2 linked regions of the Macaca fascicularis genome follow. The protein of the gene in region 2 purifies or fractionates together with the protein of the main gene of each other region. This does not show direct contact. Links are inferred from orthologs where the notes say so. Each region holds a gene or a part of one and is shown on either strand. Other genes may lie near its edges. The genes, in order: ATP2A1 and PLN.

The links.
Region 1: the proteins of PLN (region 2) and ATP2A1 purify together in Homo sapiens (affinity purification with western blotting, with the first as the bait; 3 studies listed by BioGRID). This does not show direct contact. The link is inferred for Macaca fascicularis from reciprocal best matches to the Homo sapiens genes PLN and ATP2A1.

The regions. Positions count from the first base shown.
Region 1 is NC_088394.1:27,575,052-27,591,223, forward strand, and holds part of ATP2A1 (sarcoplasmic/endoplasmic reticulum calcium ATPase 1), read right to left. Parts: intron 15,718-16,172; coding exon 15,579-15,717; intron 13,608-15,578; coding exon 13,527-13,607; intron 10,370-13,526; coding exon 10,284-10,369; intron 10,133-10,283; coding exon 9,835-10,132; intron 8,686-9,834; coding exon 8,519-8,685; intron 2,650-8,518; coding exon 2,561-2,649; intron 2,302-2,560; coding exon 2,199-2,301; intron 1,985-2,198; coding exon 1,853-1,984; intron 1-1,852. UniProt on the Homo sapiens protein: Key regulator of striated muscle performance by acting as the major Ca(2+) ATPase responsible for the reuptake of cytosolic Ca(2+) into the sarcoplasmic reticulum.
Region 2 is NC_088378.1:22,479,712-22,496,584, reverse strand, and holds the start of PLN (phospholamban), read right to left. Parts: upstream 10,369-16,873; 5' UTR 10,272-10,368; intron 1-10,271. UniProt on the Homo sapiens protein: Reversibly inhibits the activity of ATP2A2/SERCA2 in cardiac sarcoplasmic reticulum by decreasing the apparent affinity of the ATPase for Ca(2+).

The sequences.
Region 1 (16,172 bases), on a different chromosome or scaffold from region 2:
TAATTCTAGCTACTCAGGAGGCTGAGGCAAGAGAATTGCTTGAACCTGGGAGGCGGAAGTTGCAGTGAGCCGAGATCGCTCTACTGCACTTCGGCCTGGGCAAAGGAGAAAGACTCTGTCTCAAAAAAAATAACCTCATCTCTACTAAAATACAAAAAGTTAGCTGGGCGTGGTGGCTTGCATCTGTAATTCCAGCTACTAGGGAGGCTGAGGCGGGAAAATTGCTTGAACCCGGGAGGCGGAGGTTGTGGTGAGCTGAGATCGTGCCACTGTACTCCAGAATGGGGTGACAGAGCAAGACTGTCTCAAAACAGACAAACAAAAAGAATGAAAGCCTTTTTCACCAAATGTATCATGGATACTTCTCCAAAAAACAAAACAAAAATAAAAGGAACAGAAAATCAATAGCCAGGAGAAGTGGTGCATGCCTATAGCTTCATCTACTTGAAAGGCTGAGGCAGGAGGACCACTTGAGGCCAGGAGTTAAAGGCCACAGTGCGCTATGATCGCACCTATGAATAGCCATTGCACTCCAGCCTGGGCGACAGGCCAAGACCCCATCTCAAAAATAAATAAATAAAAATTTATGTTTGCATTATAATTTATAAATTTTTAAAATTAATCCTCTATTGATAGGTATTTAAGTTGCTTTCAGTTTGTTTGTTTATTTTTAAGACAGGGTCTCCCTCTGTTGCCCAGGCTGCAGTGCAGTGGTGCAATCACTGCTCACTATAGCCTTGACCTCCTAGGCTCAAGCAGTCCTCGCACCTTAGCCTTCCTAGTAGCTAGAGGACAGTTTTGTACCACCACACCCAACTAATATTTTTCTATCTTTTTTTTTTTTTGAGACGGAGTCTCACTTTGTTGCCCAGGCTGGAGCGCAGGGGCACAATCTCAGCTCACTGCAAGCTCCGCCTCCCGGGTTCACGCCATTCTCCTGCCTCAGCCTCCCGAGTAGCTGGGACTGCAGGCACCTGACACCATGCCCAGATAATTTTTGTATTTTTAGTAGACACGGGGTTTCACCGTGTTAGCCAGGATGGTCTCAATCTCCTGACCTCGTGATCTGCCCGCCTCGGCCTCCCAAAGTGCTGGGATTACAGGCGTGAGCCACCACGCCTGGCCCTTTTTTTTTTTTTTTATTTGTAGAGATGGGGTCTCACTGTGTTGCCTAGGCCGGTCTTGAACTCCTGGGGTCAAGTGATCCTCCCACCTCAGCCTCCCAGAACGCTGGAACTACAGGCGTGAGTCTCTGTGTCTCACCTGCTTTTTTGTTATATTAAATAAAGTAGCAATGAGCATTTTGTATATACAAAAAAAGAGAGAAACGTGGGGAATATAATTCACCAGAGAGAGGTGCTTAATGGAGACGTTCAGCAAGTATCAATAGCAATAACTGGGAGTGACAGTCCCAGAAGTGGCTGAGTTCATCTGGGCAAGGAAAGGCTTTCCCTGTAGGTGCAGCAGCCACATTTCCTAAATCCTAAGTCAGGACTCATGATCTGCTGAAAGCAAGTGTGCTTCTAGAAACAAAGGGATAACAGATGAAGTTGGGGCTGCTCCTGGATGGGTCCCTTGTAGTTTCCGTGTCCAGCTTTGTCCACTTCAACTCAGGACACAGCAGGCAGAAGTGATCATAGATCCATCAAGGGCATAGCTGCCAGGCAGCACCAGGGACAATGGGTCCCACCCACATCAGCCTGCGGAGAAGCTGTGGGGGGCCGTCCACTGCCTGGGTGGGGTCCCAGCACAGGCACTAGGCTCTACCCAGTCCAACCAGGGCCTCTGCCTTCCTCTGGTCTGTGCAGCATAGAGTGGAGATGGCCCTGTGGCAGGGGCTCTGCAGGCTCACCGAGTTGCAGGCGTTGGCTCTCTCCACCTTCGAGAGGCTTCTCACATCTGTGTTGAATACATTCATCTTCTCCACCAGGGTGGTGAGTGCTGTCTCGGTGGCCTCGCCAACCTTCTCATAGACACCTTTGGCCTGAGATGGGCAGAGGAGGAAGAGGAAGTAGGTGCCCCAGGCTCCCACCTGTCACACCCACCTTCCACCTAGCGTAAGAAGGAAGCAAGCCACTGCCTCCCTTGCACGCTGGCAGAGGACTGGGTGTACTGGGTCCCCTTCCTCCAACCCTTTCCTCCTGGCCTTCAGAGGAGGCTCAGACTCTGAGCCAACTGGAAGGGGAAGGAGAGGTTACCTCGTTGAAGTCCAAGGAGGAGTCATTGCAGAGGGCACAGATGGTGGCCAGCTCCACCAGCCCGTCATACTGCCCTGGCCGGACTGGCTTATCATTCTTCAAGCTGGCAGCAGGGTCGGAGGAGGAAGGGACAGAGACAGTGGAGAAGAACAGGGAATGAGATGCAGAGAGGGCACAGGAAGAGCAGGCAGCCGAGGGTCAGGAAGGACAGTAGGGAGAGCCAACTTGGATATCAGGAGAGAACAAGGTCAGGGAGGAAGGGGAGAGTGAAAGGAAAGCAAAACCACATGGAGGGTCCCAGGGAGAAAGGGGGTGTGGGGAGGGGCGTGAGGAGCTGGGGAGAAGTTGCCTGGGTGACTTACACCTCTCCCTCTGGAGCGTAAGTGGAGCCGGTGATGGAGAACTCATTCAGGAGGCAGATGTCCCCATCCACCTTATCAATGATAAACATCTGCAGGGGAGAAGGGCAGGCACACAGATGTCCACCTCTCCCCATCCCGAGGTGGGCGCCTGCATCAAAGGAGGCCTGTGCTGCCAACACCTACCCTCCCACCCTCCTACTCACCCCTCCCTGTCCCCCACCCCCCATATACCCTACCCACTTCCCACCAAGCTGTTGCAATCATTCTCCATCAAAGCCATAAAACAATCGTTACTGAGGCTGGGCGAGGTGGCTCACACCTGTAATCACAGCACTTTAGGAGGCTGAGGCAGGTGGATCACCTGGCAGGAGTTCAAGACCATCCTGGCCAACATGGTGAAACCCTGTCTCTACTAAAAATACAAAAATTAGCCAGGCATGGTGGCACGCGCCTGTAATCCCAGCTACTCTGGAGGCTGAAGCAGGAGAATCGCTTGAAGCTGGGAGGCAGAGGTTACAGTGAGCCAGGATCGTGCCATTGTACTCCAGCCTGGCAACAAGAGCCAAACTCTCAAAAAAATAAATAAATAAATAAAACACACGCACACACACAAACAAGAGTGACTGCAAGCTATGCTGGAGCTTCTGTAGATCAGTTAATAAAATAAGATGGAACACAATAAGGTGTGGTAGGGACTGTGGAAAACGGCCGACCTATTGGCACCTGGACCGTCTATAGCTCCAGCTGCACGTGGCCAGATCTTCCAGTTTTGCAGGAAGAGCTAGAAATTCAGGTTATCTTCCTGTGAAATCTCTTGACTTTTTCTTTCTTTCTTCTTTTTTTTTTTTTTTTTTTTTTTGAGACAGGTTCTTGCTCTGTTGCCCAGGCTAGAATACAGTGGTGTGATCATAGCTCATTGCAGCCTCGACCTCCCAGGCTCAAGTGATCCTCCCACCTCAGCCTACCCAAGTAGTTGGGGCCACAGGCACATGCCACCATGCCTGTCTCTCTCGCTCTCTCTTTTCTTTTTTTTTTTTTTTTTTGGTAGAAATTTGGTCTCACGGCCGGGCACGGTGGCTCAAGCCTGTAATCCCAGCACTTTGGGAGGCCGAGACGGGCGGATCACGAGGTCAGGAGATCGAGACCATCCTGGCTAACACGGTGAAACCCCATCTCTACTAAAAATACAAAAAAAAAAAAAAAAATAAGCCAGGCGAGGTGGCGGGCGCCTGTAGTCCCAGCTGCTCGGGAGGCTGAGGCAGGAGAATTGCGCGAACCCGGGAGGCGGAGCTTGCAGTGAGCGGAGATCTGGCCACTGCACTCCAGCCTGAGCGACAGAGCCAGACTCCGTCTCAAAAAAAAAAAAAAAAAAGAAATTTGGTCTCACTATGTTGCCCAGGCTGGTTTTGAACTCCTGGGCTCAAGTGATCTTCCTGCCTTGGCCTCCCAAAGTGCTGGGAGTACAGGTACCCACCATGATGCTGGGAGTACAGACAGGCAACCACCATGCCCAGCCTCTTGACTTTCAAAAATATGGGCAATTCTTTTTTTTTTTCTTGAGATGCAGTTTCACTCTTGCTGACCATGCTGGTGCAATCTCGGCTCACCGCAACCACCGCCTCCCGGGTTCAAGTGATTCTCCTGCCTCAGCCTCCAGAGCAGTTGGGAGTACAGGCAAGCACCACCACACCCAGTTAATTTTTGTATTTTTAGTAGAGACAGAATTTCGCCATGTTGGCCAGGCTGGTCCCGAACTCCTGACCTCAAGTGATCCACTCACCTTGGCCTCCCAAAGTGCTGGGATTACAGGTGTGAGAATTCATTCATTTTTATGAAACATGACAGGAGCCGAGTCACACGAGTCTGTGGTCTGGCTTTGTGGCCTGTGCGTTAGAGGGATGTGGAGAACGCAGTGCCCAGGAGGAGTGGCCTACCCTGAACCCTGGGCAAACGCAACAGAGACTGGGCTTTTCATTCCCGAGAAGAGAGATTGTTAAGATGGGTTCCAAGACAAAAAAGTTCTGTGGTCAGAAAAAACTTGGGAACCTCTGGGTTAAACAAAGCAGAATCCGTCTTCTTTACACAGTCAGCCTCCTCTAAGGCTTTCAAATACCAGCAGGCGTTACGGGGCTCTCCCAGGAGCCAGGGTTACAGCCTTTCTCGCCCTGATCTGACCACACAGCCCTTGCTTCTCAGAACAGCAATTTCTAGTTCATGGGTGTAGTCTTCCACAAAACTCTGTGTAGGGCAGGGGTTCTTGGCCTGAGGTCAGTGGAAGACCCCTCAAGGAGCCCAAGAACTGAGACAGCCAAGAAAAAAATGACAGCTTTTCTTGTTCTCACGCTGACATTTGACATTTCCTTCCAGTTATGCATGTTGTCAACAGACCACATTAGTATTAGCAAAACCTGTGACTGTCACCAATTTAATCACAGATACTTTCCTCCTATCACATTACCGCTGTTGCAGATCTCTCAAAATAGCATAATTTATGCTCACCACTGCTTCAACATTATGATAGTGCTTAGACCCACTGCGAGAACTCCCTATTTAATGCCTTAATAAAGAAGCATGTATGTTGCCAAATTACAAAGTTGTTTTTAAAATATTTTGATAGAACTATATTTCACAATCATTGATTTCCTCTGTAACCCTATGTATTTTTCATATGTATTTTTATATTTTTTACTTTGTTATTTTCATTTTTTAATTATTATTATTATTTGAGACAAAGTCTCTCTCTGTTGCCCAGGCTGGAGTGCAATGGTGCGATCTCAGCTCACCGCAACCTCCGCCTCCTGGGTTCAAGCAATTCTCCTGCCTCAGCCTCCCAAGTAGCTGGGATTACAGGTGCCCACCACCATGCCCGGCTAATTTTTTGTATTTTTAGTAGAGACGGGGTTTCACCATGTTGACCAAACTGACCTCAGGTAATCCGTCTGCCTTGGCCTCCCAAAGTGCTAGGATTACAGGTGTGAGCCACCGCATCTGGCTACTTTTTTTTTTTTTTTTGAGACAGAGTTTTGCTCTTGTTGCCCAGGCTAGAGTGCAATGGCACAATCTCGGCTCACCGCCTCTACCTCCCAGGTTCAAGTGATTCTCCTGCCTCAGCCTCCCAAGTAGCTGGTACTACAGGCATGTGCCACCACGCCCAGCTAATTTTGTATTTTATAGAGACAGGGTTTCTCCATATTGGTCAGGCTAGTCTCGAACTCCTGACCTCAGGTGATCTGCTCACCTCGGCCTCCCAAAGTGCTGGGATTACAGGCGTGAGTCACTGTGCCTAGGCTTTTTTATTTTTTTTTGAGATGGAGTTTTGCTTTTGTTGCCCAGGCTGGGGTGCAATGGCGTGATCTCAGCTCACTGTAACCTCCACCTCCTGGGTTCAAGCGATTCTCCTGCCTCAGCCTCCTTAGTAGCTGGACTACAAGCATCCACCAACACACCCAGCTAATTTTTGTATTTTCAGTAGAGACGGGGTTTTGCCATGTTGGACAAGCTATTCTCGAAATTCTGACCTCAGGTGATCCACCTACCTTGGCCTCCCAAAGTACTGGGATTACAGGCGTGAGCCACTGTGCCTGGCTTCCTATGTATTATTATTATTTTTTTTAGATGGAGTCTTGCTCTGTTGCCCAGGCTGGAGTGCGGTGGCACAATCTCGGCTCACTGCAAGCTCCACCTCCCAGGTTCACGCCATTCTCCTGCCTCAGCCTCCCGAGTACCTGGGACTACAGGCACCTGCCACCATGCCCAGCTAATTGTTTGTATTTTTAGTAGAGACGGGGTTTCACCTTGTTAGCCAGGATGTTCTCGATCTCCTGATCTTGTGATCCGCCTGCCTCTGCCTCCCAAAGTGCTGGGATTACAGGCGTGAGCTACAGTGCCCTGCCTCCTATATCTTTTTAAAACAGAATCCTGGCCAGACGCAGTGGCTCACTCCTGTAAACCAGCACTTTGGGAGGCCGAGGCAGGCAGATCACTTGAGGTCAGGAGTTAGAGACCAGCCTGGTCAACATGGCGAAACCCCGTCTCTACTAGAAATACAAAAATTAGCTGGGCGTGGTGGCATGTGCCCACAGTCCCAGCTACTTGGGAGGCTGAGGAAGGAGAATTGCTTGAACCTGGGAGGTGGAGGTTGCAGTGAGCCGAGATTGTGCCACTGCACTCCAGCCTGGGTAACAGAGTGAGACTCCATCAAAACAAAAACAAAAACAAAAAAACCCAGAATCCTGTGTTGTTTATTTATTTTTTAATTTTCTATTTTATCTTTAAGAAGATGTGGTCTCACTGTGTTGCCCAAGCTAGTCTAAAACTCCTGGGCTCAAACGATCCTTCTGCCTCAGCCTCCCTAAGTGCTAGGATTACAGGCATGAGCCACTGTACCTGGCCCTATTTTATTTTATTTTTTTATGTGTGTGAGGGTCTCGCTCTGTTGTGCAGGCTGGAGTACAGTGGTGTGATCACTGCTCACTGTAGCTTTGACCTCCTGGCTCAAGCAATCCTCTGGGTTGAAGTGATTCTCCTGCCTCAGCCACCTGAGTAGCTAGGACTACAAGTGCGCACCACCACATCGGGCTATTTTTTTTTTTTTTTTTTTTTTGGTAGAGATGGACTCTCACTATGTTGCTTAGGCTGGTCTCGAACTTCGGGGCTCAAGTGATCCCCATCCTCCCACCTTGGCCTCCCAAAGAGATTACAGGCGTGAGCCACCACCCCCAGCCTGTTTTATTTTATTTTATTTTATTTCTTTGCATTTCATTTTATTATTTAAGACAGAGTCTTACTCTGTCACCCAGGCTGGAGTGCAGTGGAGTGATCTCGGCTCACTGAAACCTCTGCCTCCTGGGTTCAAGAGATTTTCCTGCCTCAGCCTCCCCAGTAGCTGGGATTACAGGCACACACCACCATGCCCAGCTACTTTTTGTATTTTTAGTATAGATGGGGTTTCACCATGTTGGCCAGGCTCATCTCGAACTCCTGACCTCGTGATCTGCCCACCTTGGCCTCCCAAAGTGTTGGGATTATAGGCGTAAGCCATTGCGCCTGGCCTGTTTTATTTTATTAATATGCATTTGAAATATTATCCTGAGAAGAGCTCAACTGCAAAGGGGTGTGAGGCACAGAAAAGATTAAGGGCCACGCTTTAGGAAATGCTGTTCACGGTCAGTGTTGGCAGGCTGGGCGGGCCCTGTCATGAGTGACCATTCAGGAGAGCCATCCACTTCACAGGCAGAAGCTTTGGGGCCACACAGACTTGAGTTTGAAACTCAACTCTGTTACTTTTTAACTGTGCATCTTGGGGGAAGTCATGTAATCTCTGAGCCTTTTTCTCTTCTAAAAAAGGAAGTTAGGCTGGGTGCTGTGGCTCACACCTATAATCCCAGTACTTTGGGAAGCCAACGGGGGCACAACACTTGAGGCCAGGAGTTTAGGACCAGCCTGGCCAACATGGCAAATCCTGTCTCTATTGAAAATGCAAAAAAATTAGCCGGGCATGGTGGCAGGCACCTGTAGTCCCAGCTACTAGGGAGGCTGAGGCAGGTGAATCGCTTGAACCCAGGAGGCAGAGGTTGCAGTGAGCCAAGATCACACCACTGCACTCCAGCCTGGGTGACAGAGTGAGACTCTGTCTCAAAATCATAATAATTTTCTTTAATTAAAAAAAATGAAGTTAATGAGACCGTCCTCTGAATGGGCTATTGTGGGGGATGAGAGACAATGTGTGGCAGTGCCTGGTGCATGGATGGTTGTCAGAGTGAGCTGTCTGGCTGGGACACAAGGGTCCTCTCTGATCCCCTTCATGGCAGACAGGATGGTGTTCTACTGCCCTTTGAGCATTTTGCAGGCCCAGATGAGAAGCCAGCAGTGATGAAGGGAGACCTCTATCTTTGGAGGGCCCATTTTACCCCCACAGGCAGCCTTCTGACTGAGTGCGCTGCCCACACTGCTTCTGACCTTGCAGACAGACATCTGGTTGGTGGTGAGGGTGCCTGTCTTGTCGGAACAGATGACAGAGGTGCAGCCCAGGGTCTCTACGGAGGGCAAGCTCCTTACAATGGCATTCTTCTTTGCCATCCGGCGGGTACCCAGGGCCAGGCAGGTGGTGATGACTGCAGGAAGACCTGTGGGGAGGGAGGGAGGGCGTGAGGGAACCTGCAAGGGGAGGGAGGGTGTGGTCTGTAGTCTGCTAAATAGTAGCCCCCAGCTACTATTGGTGCACACCTGTAATCCTAGCACTTTGGGAGGCTGAGGTGGGAGGATCACTTGAGGTCAGGAGTTTGAGACCAACCTGGGCAACACAGCGAGACTCCTCTGATAAGATTTAAAAATTAGCTGGGCATGGTGGTGATTGCCTATGGTACCAGCTACCTGGGAGGCTGGAACAAGAGGATTGTTTGAATCCAGGAGTTTGAGATTACAGTGAGTTATGATTGTGATACCATGCTCCAGCCTGGGCAACAAGAGTGAGACCTTGTCTCTATTAAACAAACAAACAAACAAACAAACAAACAATAATGGTCCCTAAAGATACCAGATCCTAATCCCTGGAGCCTGTAAATGTTACCTTACTTGGAAAAGGGGTCTTTGGGCCGGGCGTGGTGGCTCATGCCTGTAACCCCAGCACTTTGGGAGGCCAAGGCAGGTGGATTGCTTGAGCCCAGAGTTCGAGACCAGCCTGGCCAACATGGTGAAACCTCGTCTCTGCTGAAAACACAAAAATTAGCCGGGCCTGGTGGCGTGCACCTGTAATCCCAGCTACTTGGGAGGCAGAGGCAGGAGAATCACTTGAACCCAGGAGGAAGAGGTTGCACTGAGCCGAGATTGTGCCACTGCACTCTAGCCTGGGTGACAGTGAGAGACTCGGTCTCAAAAAAAAAAAAAAAAAAAGGCCGGGCACAGTGGCTCACGCCTGTAATCCCAGCACTTTGGGAGGCTGAGGCGGGCAGATCACGAGGTCAGGAGATTGAGACCATCCGGGCTAACGCAGTGAAACCCCGTCTCTACTAAAAATACAAAAAAATTAGCCAGGCGTGGTGGCGTGTGCCTGTAGTCCCAGCTGCTGGGGAGGCTGAGGCAGGAGAATGGCATGAACCCGGGAGGCGGAGCTTACAGTGAGCCGAGATCACACCACTGCACTCCAGCCTGAGTGACAGAGCAAGACTCTGTCTCAAAAAACAAAAAAGAAAAAAATAAAAAAAAGAAAGAAAGAAAGAAAAGGAGTCTTTGCAGATGGGATTGCAAATGGGAGGAGAAAAGAAAGGCTTTCGTACCTTCGGGGATGGCAGCCACAGCCAAGGCCACAGCAATCTTAAAGTAGTAGATGGCCCCACGGATCCAGGAGCCCCCATGGACAGGGTCGTTGAAGTGGCCAATGTTGATGAGCCAGACAGCCACACAGATGAGGGAGATGACCTTGGAGAGCTGCTCCCCAAACTCATCCAGCTTCTGCTGCAAAGGGGTCTTGTCCTGTTCTGTGGCAGCCATTTGGTCTCGGATCTTCCCAATCTCAGTGCCCACGCCGGTGGTGGCCACAATGCCCAAGGCCTTGCCAGCTGCAATGTTGGTGCCCTGGGAAGGGAAAGAGAAGGCAGGGAATCAGGAAAGAGGTGACCTTCATGCCGCATTCCCCCACACCATCTCTTCTCACACCGCCATGTTTCTCTCCAACCCGGGCACCTGGCTTGACTAAGCGTGTGACAGCTGGTCCCAGATTGCTCACCGAGAAAAGCATGTTCTTCTTGTCCTGGTTGACAGCTCGGGGGTCAGGAACGGGCTCCGTGTGCTTGATGACAGATACAGACTCGCCTGTGGAGAAGGGGCCAAGGGGTTTTCAGATGACATCATGTCCTTCTCCCAGGCTTCCCACGCCTAACTCCCTGCTCAGCAGGACAGCTCCTGGTAAGGACCAAGTAGCCATCCTGGGGGATGTCTGGACTCTGGAAGAAGCCACTGAAGGCAGCTAGGAAGTCCATTGCTCCTTTTTTTTTTTTTTTTTGAGACAGAGTTTCGATTTTGTTACCCAGGCTGGAGTGCAGTGTCAAGATCTCAGCTCACTGCAACCTCTGCCTCCCAGGTTCAGGCAATTCTCCTGCCTCAGCCTCCCAAGTAGCTGGGATTACAGGCACATGCCATCACACTTGCCTAATTTTTTTTTGTATTTTTAGTAGAGACGGGGTCTCACCATGTTGGCCAGGCTGGTCTCGAACTCCTGACCTCAAGTGATCTGCCCACCTCAGCCTCCCAAAGTGCTGGGATTACAGGTCACCGTGCCCGGCCAGAAGTCTACTGCTCTTAAAAAGACCTTGAGCCGGGCGCGGTGGCTCAAGCCTGTAATGCCAGCACTTTGGGAGGCCGAGATGGGTGGATCACGAGGTCAGGAGATCGAGACCATCCTGGCTAACACGGTGAAACCCCGTCTCTACTAAAAAATACAAAAAACTAGCCGGGCGGGGTGGCAGGCGCCTGTAGTCCCAGCTACTTGGGAGGCTAAGGCAGGAGAATGGCGTAAACCCCGGAGGCGGAGCTTGCAGTGAGCTGAGATCCGGCCACTGCACTCCAGCCTGGGCGACAGAGCAAGACTCCATCTCAAAAAAAAAAAAAAAAAAAAAAAGACCCGAGCCCGGCTTGACCACTAACAAGCTGTGTGACTGATCACCTAACTTCCATGTGCTCCTCTGTAAAAATGGGGACAAGGACATGTACACTGCAAAACAATATATTGGGTAAAAATCAAATAAGTGGACATATTTGGAACCACACTTTCAACTGTCAAGCATGTTTCTGGGAGGAAGGGGGACCCACCCTTAGAACCATGCCTCCCTCACCCTAAGAGCAGGGACTCAGCAGCAGGCCTGGGCCAGCCTAGCCCTTGACCCCTGGGACCATGGGGAATGTTTTCTGCCTCCTCTTCGCTTCTCCCTGCCAGTGCAGAAACAGAAGCAGCTATGGTGGTTTTATAGAGACAGGGTCTTGCTCTGTTGCCCAGGCTAGAATGCAGTGGTGTGATCATAACTCACTACAACCTCAAACTCTTGGGCTCAAGTGATCCTCCCACCTCAGCCTCCCAAACAACTGGGACTACAGGTGTGCAGTACAATGCCCAACTAATTAAAGAAAAAAATTTATAGAGATGGGGTCTTGCTCTGTTGTCCATGCTGGACTGCTGTGGTAATCATAGCTCACTGTGGCCTCAAGCTTCTGGGCTTAGGCAATCCTCCCACCTCAGCCTCCCAAGTAGCTGGGACTACAGGTGCACATCACCACACCCAGCTAAGTTTAAAAATTTTTTTTTTTTTTTTTTTTGAGACAGAGTCTTGCTCTGTCGCCCAGGCTGGGGTGCAGTGGCCGGATCTCAGCTCACTGCAAGCTCCGCCTCCCGGGTTTAGACCATTCTCCTGCCTCAGCCTCCCGAGTAGCTGGGACTACAGGCACCCGCCACCTCGCCCAGCCAGTTTTTTGTATTTTTTAGTAGAGACGGGGTTTCACCGTGTTAGCCAGGATGGTCTCAATCTCCTGACCTCGTGATCCGCCCGTCTCGGCCTCCCAAAGTGCTGGGATTACAGGCTTGAGCCACCGCGCCCGGCCAAAATTTTTTTATAGAGATGGGGTCTCGCTGTGTTGCCCAGGCTGGTCTCAAACTCCTGACCTCAAGTAATTCTCCTGCCTCAGCCTCCCAAAGCACTGGGATTACAGGTATGAGCCACCACACCCTGCCTAGCAGCCATGGTTTCAGTGTATCTGAACCCCCTATCTTGTCATAGAATCTCATGTCTCCTCCCTGGAGGATTTTTTAGGAGGCTGAAGGAGACAGGACAGTTCTCGAGGTGTGTGTGACCCTATGTCCATGTGCAAGGGGTAGGCTCGCGGCTATCTAGAGAGTGGGCAACAGCGTCCAGCCTTCTCCCACTACTCATCCCATTTCAGGCTTGGGACAGATGGAAACATCAAGCAGGCTGGGCGCAGTGGGTGGCTCACACCTGTAATCCCAGCACTTTGGGAGGCTGAGGCAGGTAGATCACGAGGTCAGGAGTTCAAGACCAGCCTGGCCAAGATGGTAAAACCCTGTCTCTACTAAAAATACAAAAATTAGCTGAGTGTGATGGTGGACGCCTGTAATCCCAGCTACTCCAGAGGCTGAAGCAGGGAATTGCTTGAATCCGGGAGGCAGAGGTTGCAGTGAGCCGAAACTGCGCCGCTGCCCTCCAGCCTGGGTGACAGAGCAAGACTCCATCTCAAAAAAAAAAAGACTCTATCTCAAAAAAAAAAAAAAGAAAACATGTCAAACAGTGCTGCCACTGCCACAGCCACTGCTAGTGAGCCAGGGGGAGGCCCCAGTGCTGGTTTTTTTTTTTTGGCTTTTGCTTTTTTTTTTTTTTTTTGAGATGGGGTCTTGCTCTTGTTGCCCAGGCTGGAGTGCAGTGACATGATCTTGGCTCACTGCAGCCTCAGCCTCCTGGGTTCATGCCATTCTACTGCATCAGCCTCCTGAGTAGCTGGGACTACAGGTGCCTGCCACCATGCCTGGCTAATTTTTGTATTTTTTGGTAGAGACAGGGTTTCACCATGTTGGCCAGGCTGGTCTCTAACTCCTGACCTCAGGTGATCCACCCACCTTGGCCTCCCAAAGTGCTGGGATTACAGGCATGAGCCACTTTGCCCAGCCTTTTGTTTGTATTTTGATAGAGACAGGGTTGCCCAGAAAGGAGTGCAGTGGTGTGATCACAGCTCACTGCAGCCTTGACCTCCTGTACCCAGGTGATCCTCCCGCCTCAGCATCCTGAGTAGTCAGGACTATAGGCACTCAACAACATGCCCAGCTAATTTTTAAAAATTTTTTTAGAGACAGGGTCTCTCTATGTTGCTCAGACAGTGAGGGTTCTCTGTCTTTCCACTCACCTCCCCCTTGTTGCCTCTTCCTTCCCACATCCCACCCCCAAGCATCTTCCCACCCAGGCCAGCAGACCTGTCAGGATGGACTGGTCAACCCGCAGGGTGGTGGATTTGATGGCGAGGATTCGGATGTCTGCAGGGACTTTGTCTCCCACTGTGGAGAGAGTAGGGAAGAGGGAGGTCACTTGGGAATGGAATTTTCTTCCTTCCTAAGAAAAACCCAATCTGTGTCTGACTCATTCTCCTCATCCATCCTTCAGGTCTCAGGGAGGCTCCCAGGGCTTGCATCAGGCCCTTGGCATGAGCTCCTGAAGCTGGCAACCACCCATCGTGACACCCATCCCTTCTGCCCCCGTGTCCATGGCGAGCTGGAGTCTCATTCTGTTCTCAGGTTGGTCTTGAATTCCCACATCTCTTCCCACTGGCTGTGAGCCCTGAGAAGGGATGGGCAGGCATACTGCTCAGCACATAATACATGCTAAATAAATGCCCACTGAATGACTAGAGGCGAAATTAAGGACAGTCCAGCTGTAGGACAAGAAGCTAGAATTGAGAATGGGAGACAGGAGTGAGAAAGACAACGAGGAAAGGCAAGGAAAGAACTCAGGGAAAACAGGGTGTGTTAGAGAGAAGGGGTATTGGGGTGAGAGAATGAAGCGGACAGCCAGGGAAGGCAAGGAGAAACGGGAAAATATGGAAATTGAGAAAATCGAGGGCAACCAAGAGAACAGTGGAGGGCAAGGCAGGAGAGGAGTGAGCGGAAGGTATGAGTGGGCAGGACTCAAGGCAGCAGGGGGCGAAGGGTGGTAATGGAGGGGACCACATATCAGGAACCTGACAGCTGGGTCTGAGCATCTCAGGGAGGCAGGGAGGTGAGGAGCTGGGGAAAGTAAGCTGGGAACATGGACAAGACAGGACGGATGGGGCGAGAGAGAAGCGGGGGGGTGAGCAGGAAACAGGTGTGGAGGAGCAGGGCCGGCAGCACAGGCTGGAGAGTGAATGGGTGGAGGTGAGGCCGGGGAGATGCACAGGTGGGTTGACAGACACATGGAAACCACCTTGGGGGCGGCTGGAGAGGTGGATGCCCAGCCAGACTCAGAGACCTTAGGAGGAGCCTAAGAACCTCCCAGGGCTGCTGCCTAATTCCACACTGGTCCCACGGATGGTACTGGGGACCGGATCCAATCGCTTTCCTTTCCCTCTGTTTCTAAGGCCCCCTCCTGTGCCAGAGGAAATGGACCCAGGAGGGAGGAGGGAGGTCGGGATGGAGTCAGGCGGGACGCTCTGTCACCCAAGCCCGTGTGATATTTATAGACATTCATGGCGCTGACTCCATGCTGTCACGGCGGTAATGGGGTGCCGGGGTCTTCGGCCTGCCCTCACTCCCTCTCCCCAGGCTCCCTGGGGTGGTGACTCGGGTGTCTGCTACAGGGAAGGAGGCCTCAGAAGAGCCATTCCCCCTGGCAGGGGCCTGGAGCTTCGGGAAGGCCTGCTCAGGGCAAATATAAAAACCGCTGAAGGGGGCAGAATCCCAGTAATCTTAGCCACCCAGCCCCCACCCCTCCCTGGCCAGGCATTAAGTGTCCCTTGCCTCGGGCGGGGCCCTCCTTGAGCTCCCTCCTCCCCAGTCCCGTGCTCCGTGCAGGGCCTGAGTTTCCCTTACATGGCCGGGGGCTCGAGCCTTCGGCCTCCCTCCTCCCTTCTGCCCTCGCTCCTTCCCCTTTGAGAGGCCTCAAGGGCACGGAGAGGTCAAGACTGAAAGCTGACCAAGCTTGGGGTGGGTGGAAGGAGGGGGAAGCCAGGCCCCGGGAGGGGGTGGAGACGGGGCCGTTGGCAGGGACCGAGTTCCACCTGTTGCCTGCAAGTGCGAGTGCAGGGTGAGAGGATGGAGAGCAGGGGGTCTGCCTGCAGCCTCAGGGACAGGACTGGCTGTTCCTGCTGAGACTCTGCTGGTGAAGGGGGGCCGTGGCCGGAGTGGCCTGGGATGACCTTCTGAGGAGTCGGAAGGAGAAGCAGACTCCGCCATCCTCCTGGACACTGGGATCTGAGCCTGACCAGCCCCCAGCGTCTCCTAGGCCTCAGTCCCAAAGCTTCGCATCCTGGACCAGCCGTCCCTGTCACTCACCAGCCACCTCCACGATGTCCCCGGGGACGATGTCCCGAGCCTTGATCCTTTGCACTGCCTTGCGGTCAGCCCGGTAGACCTTCCCCATCTCTGGCTCATACTCCTTCAGGGCCTCGATGGCATTCTCTGCGTTCCGCTCCTGAGGAGACAGGGTGGAGGAGGCATGGTTATGCACAGGAGGCAGGGTTATGGAGTTGTGGCTCCTGGCACAGGGGAGGCAACAAAACCCAACACGGGCAGGGGTGTGTGTGTGTTGAGGAAACTGTCACCTACAGCTGAAAACAGGTAAGAGGGTTTTGGGGAGAGAACAAAGAAGAATCAAAGAAAATCAGGCTGGGCGTGGTGACTCGCACCTGTAATCCCAGCACTCTGGGAGGCCGAGGCAGGTGGATCACTTGAGGTCAGGAGTTCAGGACCAGCCTGGACAACATGGTGAAACCCCATCTCTACCAAAAGTACAACAAAACAAAACAAAACAAACAAACAAACAAAAAACAAAGCCTAGTGTAGTAGCACGTGCCTGTAATCCCAGCTACATGGGAGGCTGAGGCAGGAGAATCACTAGAACCCGGGAGGCAGAGGTTGCTGTGAGCT
Region 2 (16,873 bases):
TGGAAACCAAGACTTTATGCAAAACAACATATAACAAAACCATTTTTACCCTAGGCTGATTGATGTAAATAAGAGGTAAGTTCCTATAGCACATTTCTGGTCACAAGAACATCACCAAACTTCTCAATAAAGACCCAAACACTTCTAATATTAAACGTTGAGAGAAATATGAATTATATGTACATTTAAGAAAGATTAATAAAAACCAGATAGGCCGGGTGCAGTGGCTCACGCCTGTAATCCCAGCACTTTGGGAGGCCAAGGCGGGCAGATCCCCTGAGGTCAGGAGTTTGAGACCAGCCTGGCCAACATGGTGAAACCCTGTCTCTACTAAAAATATAAAAATTAGCTAGGCTGGTGGCATGTGCCTGTAATCCTAGCTACTTGGGAGGATCGCTGGAGCCCAGGAGGCAGGGGTTGCAGTGAGCCCAGATCATGCCACTGTACTCCAGCCTGGGTGACACAGCAAAACTCTGTCTCAAAAAAAAAGCCAACAAAGATAATTACCCAGTATTTCGTGAATCAGTGAGTAACAGTGATTGTGGTGGTCAATTAAAAACATGGAATCAATGTTTGAGAAATACAGTGGGATCTCTGAGTGCTTTTGTGCCATAGCATTTATTGTCATGCATTTGTATGATCACCCTAGACTTTACCAGTTTTTATTTGATAATAATTTGTATTCATCCGTTCATTCATTTTTCAACCCTCTTATTCTGGTTTGGGGTGCTGGTGGCTGGAGCCAATCCCAGCAGTCAAGGAGGGAGGAACCCACCTTGGATAGGAGACCACTCCATCACAGGATACACTCATGTACACACTCACACTCAACCCAGGACAACTTAAACACGCCAGTGAACCTAATGTGCACAGTTTTGGGATATGGGAGGAAACGAGAGTCCCACAGATATGGAGAGAACATTCAAGCTGCACACATACTTAAATGTTATAACAAAATGACATAGAAGGAAATGATGTTATTTGAGGACCTGCTGTATTTGGTTTAAGGTACAGCTCGTTTTGGGTTATTCTTTTGGGTAAAAGTTCTCACATACAGTTTCTTTAAATCTGTTACACTGTAGATGTAATTGGTTTGATCAGTTACTGTATTAATAGCTCCAGAGCCAATCTCATAAAAAGGAAATGCATACAACAAATTGTTCCCTGGATCTTGATTTTAATCCAAAATAAAATAGTGTTAAATGGGAAGTGTTTTACCAAAAATGTGGATTGAAATTGTCATTCCTTTTTATGATTTTATAGCTTTATAGAATGTTATCTTAACTAACATTTTAATAAGATTTGATTTTAAGTACTGAAGACTATCAAGCTTGGAATGTGTAGTAATTATTATTATCTCACCATCTACCACAGACATTTTCTATTTACAGACCTCTACTTAATAGCAGTAGTTTCCATCATGCCTTCTTTCAGAGATACCACAAGCTATTGCTGCCTGTGGGGTCTATACTTTGATGATTAATAAAACAAATAAGAACTTACATGCTATTACAGAAAAATTATATATAGACTGAAAATTAACTGTATTAACTGTCCAGAGATAATGGTTATTAACACTTGGGGGACATTTTGTTTTCAATCAGGATACTTCTGCATCAATTTTGAAATAAGAAAAATAAAAAATAGAGTAAAAAAGTTATAATTAATTGCCAGACATAGTGACTGTTAACATTTGTTGATATATTATTGTTAATCAACATATTACTACCTTACCCCAACTGTCAGATTTTATTTTCTCCTAAGTCTTTTTATACATCTCATAAAAGCCTCTCTCAACCTGTTAGCCCATTCCTGAGAGAGGAAAGTGCTGAAGGGAACAGAAGGAAGTACTGAAAGAATGGCAAAGGGGAAGGTAGGTATCAGGCCTGACCAGTTAGAACCCAACATTTACTTTTACAGAGAAACCGTATGGTTTATGGTGTTTAGATTCTGTAGTGTTCAATAGTTCAACTTGGCTCTATTATATTCTGAATTATATAGTAGACTGGGCCTTTTTTGGCTTGAGACTCTGTCCTCCTTCATAATATTGGTCTGTAGCAAGGAGTTCCAAAAAGCCAACTTCTATCAAATTTTCTTTCCTTAAAGAGTTATTAACAACCTGTGTTTTTCTAGCATGTATTCTTCATTGTCTAAACGGTGGCTAACGGCTGTTATTTAGGTTGTCTGTAACAATTCTACTTAGAAAACAGCAGCTTATAAAAACAGAACTGCCATTTGACCCAACAATCCCGTTACTGGGTATATATCCAGAGGAGTATAAATCTTTCTGCCATAAAAACATACACGTATGGATGTTCATTGCAGCACTATTCACAATAGCAAAGACATGAATCGGCCTAAGTGCCCATCAGTGACAGAGTGGAAATGTGGTCATATACACCGTGCAATACTGTGCAGCCATAAAAAAGAAGGACATCATGTCTTCTGCGGGAACATGAATGAAGCTGGAGGTCATTATCCCTAGCAAACTAACACAGGAAAAGAAAACCAGATACCACATGTTCTCACTTTTAAGTGGGAGTGAGATGATAAGAACTTATGAACACAAAGAAGGAAACAACAGATGCTGGGGTCTGCTTGAGCGGGGAGGATGGGAGGAGGGAGAGGAGCAGAAAAGATAACTGTTGGGTACTGGGCTTAATACCGGAGTGATGAAATAATACACACAAACCCCCATGATGTGTGCTTACCTATGTAACAAACCGTCACACATACCCCCAAACTTAAAAGTTAAAAAAAAGGAAAACAGCAGCTTAAACTTGACGTATATTTAATGATGTTTGTTTGAATTCTTCAGGTAAAATAGAAATAGATTTTCTTTCGTTCTTTATTAAGATTCATCCTTTAAGTTGTTTCTGTTGATAGTTGATTATTATAGATCTAGTGGATTGGAGAATTACGGGAAGATTTTATTTATTTATTTATTTTTTTGAGACAGAGTCTCGTTCTGTTGCCCAGGCTGGAGTGAAGTGGCGTGATCTTGGCTCACTGCAAGCTCCACCTCCTGGGTTCATGCCATTCTCCTGCCTTAGCCTCCCAAGTAGCTGGGTCTACAGGTGCCTGCCACCATGGCTGGCTAATTTTTTTGTATTTTTAGTAGAAACTGGGTTTCACCGTGTTAGCCAGGATGGTCTCGATCTCCTGACCTTGTGATCGGCCCGCCTAGGCCTCCCAAAGTTCTGGGATTACAGGCGTGAGCCACTGCGCCTGGCTGAGTAGTCACCTTTTATGAAGATACGTAGCATAATACAGAGAAGAAAGGAATAATAATTAGCCTTGGTAATTCCTATTTGAATATATGGTTTTGTGAGGTTTTTGGGCTTAGCTGGTCTTAAAAGGTCAGAAATTTAAAAAATTACTTTGAGGCAAAACATGGGAAAGGAGGGAGTTGGCCAGGAGTTTATCATTAAGCATATATACAGGAGTCATCCCCTACCTTGACACTGATAAGTTGTACTTCAGTCACATGAAACATGTCACCTTTCCATAAATACTCCATTCGCTTTTGTGATTTTATTCTTTGCACATGTTGTTCTATCTCTGCCTGGAATGCGTCCTCCACCTTTTGATTCTCTGCCAGGCAAGCTTCAGTTGATTGTTAAGGTTCAGTTTAAATATCACTTCCTGATGAAACCTTTCATTAGTTATTAGGGTGGAATTGGTTGTCACCTCTACTGGTTTTTAATAGGGCTTTAGTGTTATCTATATGAGGATATCTATCAGATTATAGCACAATTTCAGTTTACATGTTTGTATCCCCAACTAGACTTGATAGTTTCCGAAGTAAAGAAACCATGTGTTCATTTAGTATCCTAGTACTTAGTGCATAATTGGTATGTTTCAATAAATCATTAAAGTTAAATAAGGGATTTTTATGACTAAAACTATTAGAAAATTGTAAATAAAAAATAATGCTGTGGGCAGGTCACGGTGGCTCACATCTATAATTCCAACACTTGGGAGGCCTAGGCGGAGGGAACGTTTGAGCCCAGGAGTTCAAGACCAGCTTGGGCAACAAAATGAGACCCCATCTCATTTTTAATTAATTATTTTTATGAATGGATGAATGAACGACAGGGTCTTGCTCTGTCACCCTGGCTAGAATGCAGTTGTGCAATCATGGCTCACTGCACCTCAACTTCCCAGGCTCTAGTGATCTCCCTGCTTTAGCCTCCTGAGTAGCTGGAACCACAGATGGGCACCACCATGCCTGGCTAATTTTTGTATTTTTGGTAGAGACAGGGTTTCACTGCGCTGCCCAGGCTGGTCTCAAACTCCTGAGCTCAAGTAATTCCTGGGATTACAAGTGTGAATCACCATGCCTGGCCCTCATTTTTAATAATAAGTTAAAAAATTTTAAAAATAATGCTGTGATTGGCAGATTAGTTCTAATAACAATTTGTTAGTTGAACATGTAAGCTCTAATATTCTCCTCAAGCCTCTTTCTATCACAGATGAGAAAAATGAGGCTTAGAGGATTCACCTAAATTAATGGTCACCTGATTAACATAATATTAACCTGAACTAGACTTTGTATAAATGGGTTTTTAGTATTTGTGAAATACAAAGATGTGCCTGAAAGAGATGAGCTCTCTGCTGTTTAAAGCATAATTAACATACTTTAAAGATGATCTTATAATCCTACAACAGCTAACTGTTATTGAAAAACAAGAGTTGGTTTCTGGAAACAAATTGGGTATAAAGGAGATGACCAAAAATAGTATCCTGTTTCTTGTCAGATTTAGAAATATGCTGTAATCCTAAAGTTATTTGTAACTGCTTTATAATTTTATGCCTAAACTGAAAACAAATCTGCTTTACATGCTAAAATGTTAATGATACACATTTAATTTATTGGGCTCAATTTTTTACAGTGGTATAATCTGAAATGTGTGGAATCCTAGTTCTATTGAATACCAACATTTGTATGATGATAATTAGGCCAGATTTTGTCCATAGAAGATGGGGTTTCCTGTCATATGTTGAGAATTGAAAACCTTTGTGTGGGAACAGCATAATCCTATTTTTAGAGTTGTCTGTGACCTTTACTACATTATAATTCATGGTTGTCAGATGTTTATCATTCTCTTCTCTGCACTGACAACCACCGTATGAGTTTCCTTTTTTTTTTTAAAAAAAAATAAATTTCTTAACAGCCAAGCTGTTTAATAATTTTTGATGGAAAGCATAGAAAAATAGTTTAGTTTTATTTTCATGTTATCTGATCTTTTTAGAGCATTCTATTAGTCTAATCATAAATAGTTTTGGGATTTTCTGAACTTGTGTCTGGCCTAAACAACCATGGAAACTGAAGTTACTCTCCATCCTCTTATTAAAAGAATGACTATATATATATATATACACAGACACATACACACATATAAATTGGTTGTTTTGACACAAGAGTGGTATTCACTTATAGATGAATTTTAAAATCAATTTATCTTGTAGGCCCTAGAATCAAGAGTATTGAAAACATGAAAGGTGCTTGTTAGGAGTTTGGGTGTAGAAATGCCAGACTCCTGTCTCTTGAGTTGCATGTCAGAGGCAGAAAAGTATCCACAGAGTATCTTATGTCTGTGGATCCATGATTACTCTACTTTTTAGGAGAATGAGAAGAATAAAAATAAAGAACTATTCTTTGTGGGATTTATAAATCCTTTGATTGTTTTCTTTTCCTCAAGAAAAGTGACACCGGAAATTTAAAAAAACAATCAAGTTCAAGATAGTATGGTTTTTTGTTTTTGTTTTTTTTTTGGGTGGAAGAAGGAAATAGAAAAGCCATTAGGCAACTCTAATCTTTTGACTAATGTTGTATACCATGTTAGGCAGCATGTTTGGTGGAAGGTACTATATATCAACTCCTTCAGGAGTCCTTACTTTGTCTGCAGTGAGTCCTGTTGTAGCAATATAATATCAAATGCATTCTTGTGCGGAAGGAACCTCAATAGTCTTCTGAAAACTTTTGGTGGCCTGCTTTATGACTTGCTAGACAATTGATGCTTTAATGATGTTGTATATGCTGAGCATTAATCCCCACCTATACTTTAAGCATGTTCAGTGCTTGCGGAACTTCTCAAACTTCAGCATTTTTGGTGATATGCCTTTTGCTGAAATAATAAATTCCTGGGATTCTTTATATTTGTAGAATTTAGAATTTTGCTTTTCTCCTTTTATTTTTGTTTATTCTTTTACTAAACATGGGATTATTGAAGCAATACTTTATTAAATTGAATTCAAGTAATATCTAAGGCTACAGTCTGATATACTCTAGGATGTTTTTTCCATCTGTTTGGTTTAGAAGATTAGAATTTTCTATAGATTGAATTTGAATGAACAGGGCTTGTCTATATTTGGATTATTTGGAATTTTATTTTATTTTTCTACTACTTTCTGACATTTCCACAGGTAAACGATAAGTGAACGTGTATACACCCTTTTTTGGACTTGTGGTAATAAATTAGGACAGTTCATCATTAGATTTATGATGAATCTGTTGGCTTACAAAAGTTCACTCCAGTGGAGTCATTTTCCTTTTGAGATTGCCTAATACTAAACTTGGACATTCTGTTTGAAGTTACTTTGTGGTAGCAACATTCCAGAGCTTTGTTGGTCCAGACTGGCCGTTTGAAAGAATCTTCAAGCTGCTTCTGTCTGGTTATGAAAATAATTGTATATGCATAAAAATCAATATATTCTCACTCCTAAATTGACCCGTAATGAAGTGCTCCTCATGTTAAGTCTTGAGGAGAATTCATTAAACAACAGCACAGAGAGATTTTTCTCTCTGAAATTGACAATTTAGCTTATTGCTATTGCTACAGTGTCTGTAGGTTTGCCTTCATTATTGTTTTTTAAATATTGAAACAATGCTTTACAAGTTTATTTACAAGTAAAATACTCTTCTTAACCCTGTAGGAGTTGGAACTTCAGAATCTTTTTGGGGGGAAGAGAATATGGGGGGGTAGTATTGAGAAAGGCTTAAGGAGAAATGAATGTCACTTAATAAATGTACCCCCTATTAATGTGAGTGTATTGGTCAACCTTTTTTTTGCGGGGGGAGCAGGGGATGGGGGTTGAAAACTAAAGATGGAGTACCTTTTCAAAGGCACTAGAGGTCCTCAGTTGACTATGAGTATGCTGTACATCCAGGCTTCATTTTCATGTGTTTATTTGGTAACACATGCTTCAGAATTATTCTGGGTAAGAACTTTGATGTGCTATTTCTGCAAATATACAAAGAGACTACATCTTATCTAATTTATGCCACTGTAATTTAGAAGGATTATTTTCTTGATTTTTCTACCTTTAGGTTTACTTTGCTAGTATGATCATTTCTTTGTTAATTCACAGTTTTGATGAAAGTTAGGGATTTTTGTAGCAAATAACAAAGCAAGATTGATTAAACATGTCAAAACAAATAGTTTTGGATATTTAAAATGGTAGAGTATGGGGAGGGGTAATTCAGAAATAAAACTGAGGAATGCTGAGGACTGAGGATTTAAAAGGGAACCTAGAATAAAGTATCGAAATGTGGTTTTTGTGAAAGTTTTGAGGAGATATTAACTTGGATTTTAGGTATCAGATGAATTGAAGGCATGAGTATTTTAGCAATGAAACAAATAAAAGGAAACTTTGATTGATTGGGATATGTTACGGTTTTTTGAAGTCTGTGCAGTTAGTTTGAATTTTATCTAACTGCAGTTATTTTGCTTAACAACTAAGGACATCTGTAATGTTCGTATATTTCTGGTTTTGAAAATGATCAGTAGAATATAATTTAGGCTATTAAGAATGTAATGCCTGATGTACAAATTGAATTTAAGTGAAATGGAATGGTTTTAAATTAAAATAGAAGTTTGTATTCTCTGAATTTGCCTTTTAGAGTATCATTTACAGTGTTTGGGGGCTTTCAAATTTGGTTTATCAGTGTCACAATTTACTTCAAGCCATGCTGGTCAATATATAGAGGATGTGCATGTGGCTTAGTGACAAAACCTAAACTTCTGCTAAGGTTTCCCTGTTTTCTTAGTTATGTGATCTTGAGCAGTTCACCTTTTTGCATCGTTCCTAAATTGTAGAATAGGGATGCAGTATCAAATATATAATTAAGAGGACCAAATAAAATATTTGTGTACACCAGTACATTAGGAAATTGTTCTTTAAGAAGAAGTTTTAATTGGCCCCCCTCATTTCTGGGATTGGTAATATATTGTCTAATTTAGAGAGGTAACTAGACTTTAAAATTTGTTTTTAAATTAAAAATTTAATATATTACATAATTTAGTATTACATGTGTAATTAGTACATTAAAACATTAAAATACATTAAAATTTTCTGAAACCATTGTGTTTATGCAATATTTTCTTATTGTTTCTTAATCTCGCTAATTAAAGATATGATTATATACCCAAATGCGATTATTTTCCTTTATGCCTACTAAAATACAAATAAAATAGATTTGATATTTGATTTTGGGAAATGATAGTGCTGTCACGCCTTTTAGTAAAGCATGTACTCTGACTCTTTCATGTGTTTATAAAACTTAACACTTCTTAATTTAAACATTTTATATTTTTCCCATTTATTTCATCTAACACTTTTTTAAGCACTTATTTTTAAACCACATGTCTTCATAAACAAAGACAATACTTAACTGGCAACTTAAGGTATAGATGAACTATTTGGGACATAATGTATGGTACTACCACATTATGTTTGAAATTTTAACGGTCTCTGTAACTGGAATTTCTGTTAACTGAGACATACTAGTGAGCTAAGGGTAACTTTAATAGAATTTCTGCTCTATCCAGAGGTTGTGTACTTTTTAGAGCAATATGTGATAAAGCGAAATTCTGATACAATAAAATAACTCATGAACACCCAATTTGAAGTGTGAGAATGTAATTTGATATTTGAATAAAAATGCACAAATAAGCATATAAGACACCTACACTGAATGACTTTTGTGTAATAGCAAAGGAAAATTATGAGTATAGAGATATGGAGATGCAATTAGGATACCTCAATGGTAGACAAAAATTATGTTTTTGTATGTCTTAAGGAAAACCGCTTACAGAATTACAAAGTTCGTATTTGTAGTGAGCAAGAGAGTTAACATTTGTCATGGGAATTGAGAATTTTAGAGGTAAATTTTAACATATATATAAAATATGAAAGTTAAAATAAATAAAATATATGTAATTTTCTGTAAGCCCTGACAGAGATCTGAGAATGAGGAAACGTTTCATTTACTAAATTGAGGATTGTAACTTAAAGAATAGGGTAGAATTCAAACGGAAGTCATAAAATTGATTGTGGCATCTCCATTCCTGGCATTTATTTTATTTTCTCCTGTCTTTCTAAATCTCAGAGAGGAAATGGAGTAACACTGGAGGATAATAACTTGACAAAATTATAGGCATTAATAGGCAGAAATCCATTTAATCAAATTTGTGTGAAAATAAGATACTTAAGAATATTCATGTGTCAAAATAACTTTTTAAAGTGTCTATTCTCTAACAGATTTTTGTGTGTTTGTGAAAAGTGTTTTAAAATTTCTAAACTTCTTTATGATACAATATTGAATTTAATATCAGTAACTCAATTTATTAACAGCATGGAATTTTTAGAAATGTTTCTTAAAAGGTGACTGGACTTTAGAGGGGAAACATCCTCAAGGGCACTTTAAAAGTAGCTTGTATTATATATTCTTAAGCTCCATTTCATTATTATTCACTGTATGAAATTATGATGATATTGCAGTAGGCATGCTGATAATATGCATGTTTGTAGTCAAATGACTATTCATATTAGTTCAAATGTAAATAACTCAGTTCTGCACTGTTTCTCAGCAGAGCAATAAATAACAAAATTAAGTCATTGTTTTTGTGTGGAGAAATTAAACCACTGCTGCCAAATATGGTAACATAATTGGAAGATTTTTTTAATTGGCAGAAATTCACATTTGAAAAGCAAAATAAAAGTGAAAGTTAAATTAAAATGACAAACAAATAACCAGGATCAAAGATGAATATGACCTTTTTCATTTCAAAGTTGTCTCATTTTTACTGTCACTAAATGGATAAGCATTTATAAATTTAAGCACTTTGTCATGTCATTTTATTGCTTAAGTTTGAACTGATATTAATAAAAGTAACTTATCTTAAAAGTTCAGATTATAGAAATTATAGGAATTAAAGAATTACAGAAAGTAAGAATTACCAAAGTCAGTGAAATCTGTTTCTTACCTTGGCTGCTGTGATCATCACAATATAGAGTATTGTGTTGTATGAAGTCTTATGGGTATTTAGCTGGGGAGTTTTCTGACTCTGTCACCCGGTTTATGGGAACAGTTGCAGTAGGTGGAGGAGAAAAAGTGTTCTAGGGAGGTCTTATGATGTCACATAGGAATTCTGAAGTTTCGATTGGTTAGCCATAGTCTTAGTCTCAGCACAACCAAACTTTAGAACTTCTTACTTTAGGTATGGAAAAGTCATTAACACTTTGTGCTTCATCTTTTGTTTCTAATTTAAAACAGTATATGGCAGATAAATGAAAAAACAAAGTAAATTTGAGGTGGTAGAAAGCTTTTGTTAAAGATTCATGCATCTTCAGGCTTAGAGATAATTGAATATTAATGGTGAAGATGTTGAAGAGCCAAAATAGTTACTACAGGAATTTTAATTATGAGAAAAATAAACACAAGTATAAGCAAAACAACTTTCATTGAATTCTTGCTGCTGTTGCTTTAATACCACGTCTTCATAATGTTAGCTTTCAACAAGACAATAGTGAAATATTTTTACACAATCAAATTTTATACCTATTTTCTTATTTTGTTGTGTGTATGGAAGAAGGAGTGTGTATGAGGAAATCAGGCTAGTAACTGCTTTTTGTTTTAAAAAATGATTTTTATCTTACAGTTAAAGAACTAATAAATGTATTTAATTCATTTGTGTTTTCTTCAATTAGCAGTTTAACAATATATTTGTGAATGGTAATTCTTATATTTAAACTGATACATATAATCCCCCCCAAAATAACAATATGCTACTTTTAAGTATTTAAGATTTTTTTAAACAGTTGCATTAAATTGTTACACAATCTTAATAAATTTTTTATAAACAGATGCAGTATTAAGGGCAACTTTATAGCAAAAAAGAAATAATTACAGATTCCAAATCAGTTACATATCAGTTAATGAGGCTTTATAGGTTTGATGTGTTGAAATTTAAGTTTTGTAATGTTTTTAAAAGGATGTGCCTCATTTAATCTAGCAGGTGCTTTCCTGAAAATTACTATACAAATGAGATACTAGTAAGTGAGGATATTTTGAACTTCCTAGAACAGTTTATCTTACAGTAGAAATGGGGAAATAATTTTTTTGTAAAGCCGGGCATCATTCTCCTCTGTTTATCTAATTTGTTGTCTTACATGTCAGATTTACTTAAGTCACCACACTTGAAAATATTAATTCTTAAATCTCTTCTTTAATTTTAGAGGAGGTACTTGTAATCTTTAATTTTTTAAATGCTTATGACAGAGTGAACTTAGCCCACTTCACTTTCTTATGGGTAACTAAAATGTGTAGCAGCAGCTGCTTATGTGCCCTTAAATGGAGATGATCTTGGCTTCTTCCAAAGAAAGAAAATCCATCTCTAGAGCAAATCATTTGTTATTTAAAGAATCAGCTTAAAACTAAGTGAAAAATAATATTTTAGCAAAGATACTCTGTGAACATTGCCAAGGGAAAATTTACAACTTAAAAGTAAAACCCAAGTTAAGGAAATCGCATGAATAATGTTTGTTACTTTTCTTAGTGCTACAACCATTTTTCTTTCAATCCTTACATAATGAGGATCTCTCAGTACCATCAGTTACCAATGATGATTGATAATATAAAACCTAGAAACCTAAAGAGGTTTACAGTAATTTGTCAGAGATAACCAACCGCTAAAGAACAGACTGAGGATTCAAATGCAGATCTGTCTGTTTATAATTCCTAATCTATTGGCATATTGTGGGAAAAAATTATAATTTGAATATAGCTTTCATTAGAGTAGCCTATAGTAACTAAGAAATTTTTGAGATGAAAATAGGTGCATTCTTGAGCACTGTTAATAGTTTTAGAAAGTCTGCTTTATGTTTGTCTACCAGTTATACATTCATTTGAAATTTAGGTGATAGATCATTGTTCTAAGAACTTCTCATTCTAAGAAAATGGAATTAGTAATACTTAGTTGGATAAACCAAGAAGCTGCCATAGATTGAATAAAATATGCCCTAGTTACCACGAGTTTACAAGTTTACTTAAAAAATATACATAGGCATATATACACCTTAGAAGGATACTAACAACTGTGTGTGACATAGTTGGAAAATGGATTCAAAAAATTAACTTTTATATTGGTATAAGAGTGGGGAGTTTTTGTGTTTACCTTTTTCCTTTGGGTTAGCTAGTGAAGATGTCGATGATGGTGATCCCACGTGGAACTCTAGGAAGTATTATATTTTCATTTTAACTAAACATTGTTTTTATTGCCCAAACAGAAAGTTGTTTAATAGGAGTATTAATGAGTTATAGTGTTATCAGTAGACTGTTCCTCAATGATTCCTCAACTAGAGGCTGGAAATTTTTTTTGAGGTGCTTTGTCGCAATCTTCATTTGGAGTCACTATAGTTTGAATGTATTTTTGGTCACATGACTTTATACAAATAACTTCCTTAAGCAGCTTAATCTGTGCAGTAGTATTTGTGATGGTTTAATGACACGAAGTGTACATAGTGATTATCAGAGATCCTGCAACAGTGTTCATTTAGTGTTAGTACTTATTTTCTTTTTTCCTTTGGAAGGTGGATTCTTTTTTTTTTTTTTTTTTTTTTTTTTGAGACAGAGTCTTGCTCTGTCACCCAGGCTGGAGTGCAGTGGCCGGATCTCAGCTCACTGCAAGCTCTGCCTCCCGGGTTTACGCCATTCTCCTGCCTCAGCCTCCCGAGTAGCTGGGACTACAGGCGCCCGCCACCTCGCCTGGCTATTTTTTTGTATTTTTTAGTAGAGACGGGGTTTCACCGTGTTAGCCGGGATCGTCTCTCGATCTACTGACCTCGTGATCCGCCCGTCTCGGCCTCCCAAAGTGCTGGGATTACAGGCTTGAGCCACCGCGCCCGGCGGAAGGTGGATTCTTAAGGATAAAGTGTCTTTGAACTTGGATGGGAAAATAATTACAAATTTATTTTTACTAAGCTCTAAATGGAATTTAGTATTTCCTCAGTTTTAACTGAATCCTGGGTTCATGTCTTTACTTTTGTTTTTATATAGTTTTGTAGCATTTTAAATGTATTCCTCAAAAGTATTACTAATTTTTTTTTTTTTTGAGGCAGAGTCTCACTCTGTCACTCAGCCTAGAGTGAATGGTGTGATCTCGGCTCACTGCAACCTCCGCCTCTCGGGTTCAAGCGATTCTCCTGCCTCACCCTACCAAGTAGCTGAGACTATAGGCATGTGCCACCGTGCCCAGCTAATTTTTATATTTTTAGTAGAGATGGGGTTTCACCATATTGCCCAGGCTGGTCTCAAACTCCTGACCTAATGATCTGCCCACCTCAGCCTCCCAAAGTGCTGGGATTACAGGTGTGAGCCACCGCACCCGGCTGTGTTACTTTTTGTAAAGGACACTGTGACGTACGTAGTAATCTTTTATGTTGAGTATTTAAACTCCAGTCTGTAGTGGTGTATCTGGAGGGTAAAGAAGCTTCAAGATAGAACAGTTTTTTGGAAATTTTTGACCAGAACTTAATTTAAGTGATGACTAAATTAAAGCATTTTAATATTTAGACAGATATACAGTAAAATGCAAGCTTCAAATCAATTTTTGTGTTGCCCACAATACATCAAAGATAAGGAGTTTTTTTAGATTAGATCTCCTAGACACCCAGGAGGAAGATTTTACCTAGCTCTTGAGGGTACTTGAGGGCTTGATAATTACCATCTTAAATTTTTAAGCTACGTAGGGGGAAGGACTGGTTCAAAAAACATCTAAGCAAAACTGCAAATGAGAATAGTGGTCTGAGATTGAGAGGATGGAAATTCTCTTCCTAGGGCAACAGGGAGGAGGAAATAAGATTTACTCATTAACTGGGGTGGGGAGCTGTGAATACAACCCAATGATAAAGTAACCTATAAAGCTTAGGGGTCATTTTGGGGAGCTAGTTTCACTTTTCACTTGATTTGCCAGATAATCTGGAGACCCAAACATTTAATTTTTTCATAAATATCTGAATTCTGGACAAATTCTCTTTCCTTATCTTGATGAGGGGTGGAGAAGAGAGTCAAGAGGGGCCAGATGGATTAAGAAAAGGACTCATATAGGTCTACATAATTTTTGGAAAGTTATTAAACATTCCAAGTGATAGAAATGCTATAGCATGCTACGTGGCTTCAAGGAAATTGTTGTTTATCAGTATACAAGTAATATGGAAATGAAAATTTAACATGTGGACGGTAACCACTAGTGCAAGATAACACCAGGAGAAAAAGAAATTCCCAATTGAGAGTCAAATGAGCACGTGTAATAATAAGCAGTATGACTTCTAAGAGAAGTGTATGTTTTGTACAAAGGAAACAGAACCAAAGCCAAAAATAACAAAGGGAAACACATACATCACAAAACAAATTTAACAACAAAAACCAACCCTTAGGTCTCCAGATACTTGCTTCAAAATTCTATAGAGTCCAGATCATGATGCTGTTACATTGTTAAGAAGGTTCCAGTTCAATTTAATGGTTGTAGTGTTTCTCCAGACACATTAAATTTCTTATCTTTGTGGTTGATATCTCAGCCCTTTGAGCTCCTCGCATTCGCAAACTTTGTGGTGGCACCATCACTGATTTTGATACAAAATTGAAATTGGAGGCTCATACCTTTTCTGGGTTTTACCAGACTCCCCATTCACTTAGAAACCAAATGCAAATTGTGAAATATAAGTCTTTGTTCTCATAGCCTGACCAACTGTCCTCTTAACTTTCATAGAGGTTTATTAACTAGTTTTTCTACCCTCCGTCATGACCCTTTCCTACTCAGTTTTTACTCTGATATCCAAGTGCACATCTGATTGTCATTCATATGCTAAGAACTTTTCATTGATTTCTCTTTCAAGATGAAAAACCCACTCTTTACAGAACTACAAAAAAAAACTCTTTCCTGATCTGTCCATTGCCATGTATGCCTCCCATAACGATTTGACAACTCTGCCATTATATGTTATTTCTTCTATCTGAAATATTTTCCTTACTGTCTTGTTCTTACGGAACTCCTTCATTATTCAGAATTAGGTGGGGAGAAGCCCTGTTTTGCTTGTTCTTAATTTCTAATTATATAAGTAATAAGTGAATATCTCTTATAATTCAGAAAAATCAGATAAATCTGAAGTCGGAGGGGGACTTTCTATATTATATAGGTATATTTATTTTCTTTGTCATAAACTTCATGAATAGAGACTGATTTATTTTTTCTAAGCTCTACACACTGCTTATCCCTTAGAAGGCTCAATAAGATATTTTTATAGTTAACGAATATTTAGAATATTGTTTTTCCATTACAAGTGAACTCATAAAAAGGGTAAGTTGAAAGAAGAGAGAATAAAGGCCCTCAGAAACTTAGATAAACTAATTTTCTTTGTCCCTAATGATTGCCTCTGAAAATATTTTTCTAATATTTTCACTTAATTCTTTAACTTGTTCACACTTTGACATGTGTGTAACATCAAAAAACAAAATTTCAACAAATTGAGTCTAATTATCTAATTGGCTTTGATTAATGATTCATGAATTGGGCAGTATCTCTATCATAGGCCATCAGATGAGCTAAGTGGAGGAGGTGGGCTTTCTAGGCAGAAAGAGGCTAAAGAAAGAAGGAACAAAAAGTGAATTGGTTATTATAAGTTACTTATAAGGTTAAAACAGACTTCTTTATCATGCTAATTCAGGTAAATTGGGCCCTTTCTGATTGGTTGCTGTGAATATCCTGTTGTTTTTGGAAAACTTGCTGATGTTGAAGTTCAGTTTGATTATGTGGCTCCCAGCAGGAGTGGCTCCATTCTTGTCTGGTCTGGTCTGTTAAGACTGAGTTCAAAACAAACCAGAGTGACTCCATTCTGGTTTTGTGTGGGCAATTAAGGCTCAGTCCAAAACAATGGCTTTCCATAGTTTTGTTTAACCATAAGAGATTTCTGGAGTGATTGTAGGTTGGTCAAGGAATATTAATAAGGAGTTGAATTGGAACTGTCATTCTCATTTTTTTGTCCTCTCTCACTACCTTACTCTATGATTTTCAGAAAATAAATCTTTCTGTACTGTAGTTTTCTCATAAATAAATGGATGGCAGATTGAATTAATTTCTAAAGTCTCTTTGAAGCCTAAATGTTCTGATTATACTAAACTAGCTTGAAAAATGTTATTTTTAAAGTAGCTATTAATGTTAGCTAATTTTGTTAAAATAATTAAACATGTACATTTCACAAAAAGTCAGTTTTTAATTCATTTCTTTAGTTAAACTACTGGTTTACTGGTTGTCAGGCACTTTGTTAGGTAAGGAATGCAGTTAAAAAAAAAGGTCCTTGTTTTCAGGCATGTTAAGCTTTCAAAAACTCTATTAAAAAACTCTAAAACATCACCTGTTCATTGAAGAATAATTTTAAATATGTTTGGGTATTTTTATGTGCTATTTATTAAAAATATATGTTACAAATTTTAATAACTTATTTTTACTATGTAAATGTGAGTTTGGCGTATAAATACACCATAATTTGTGATTATCTTATTGCATATCAGGGGATATAATTTTTGCCATTA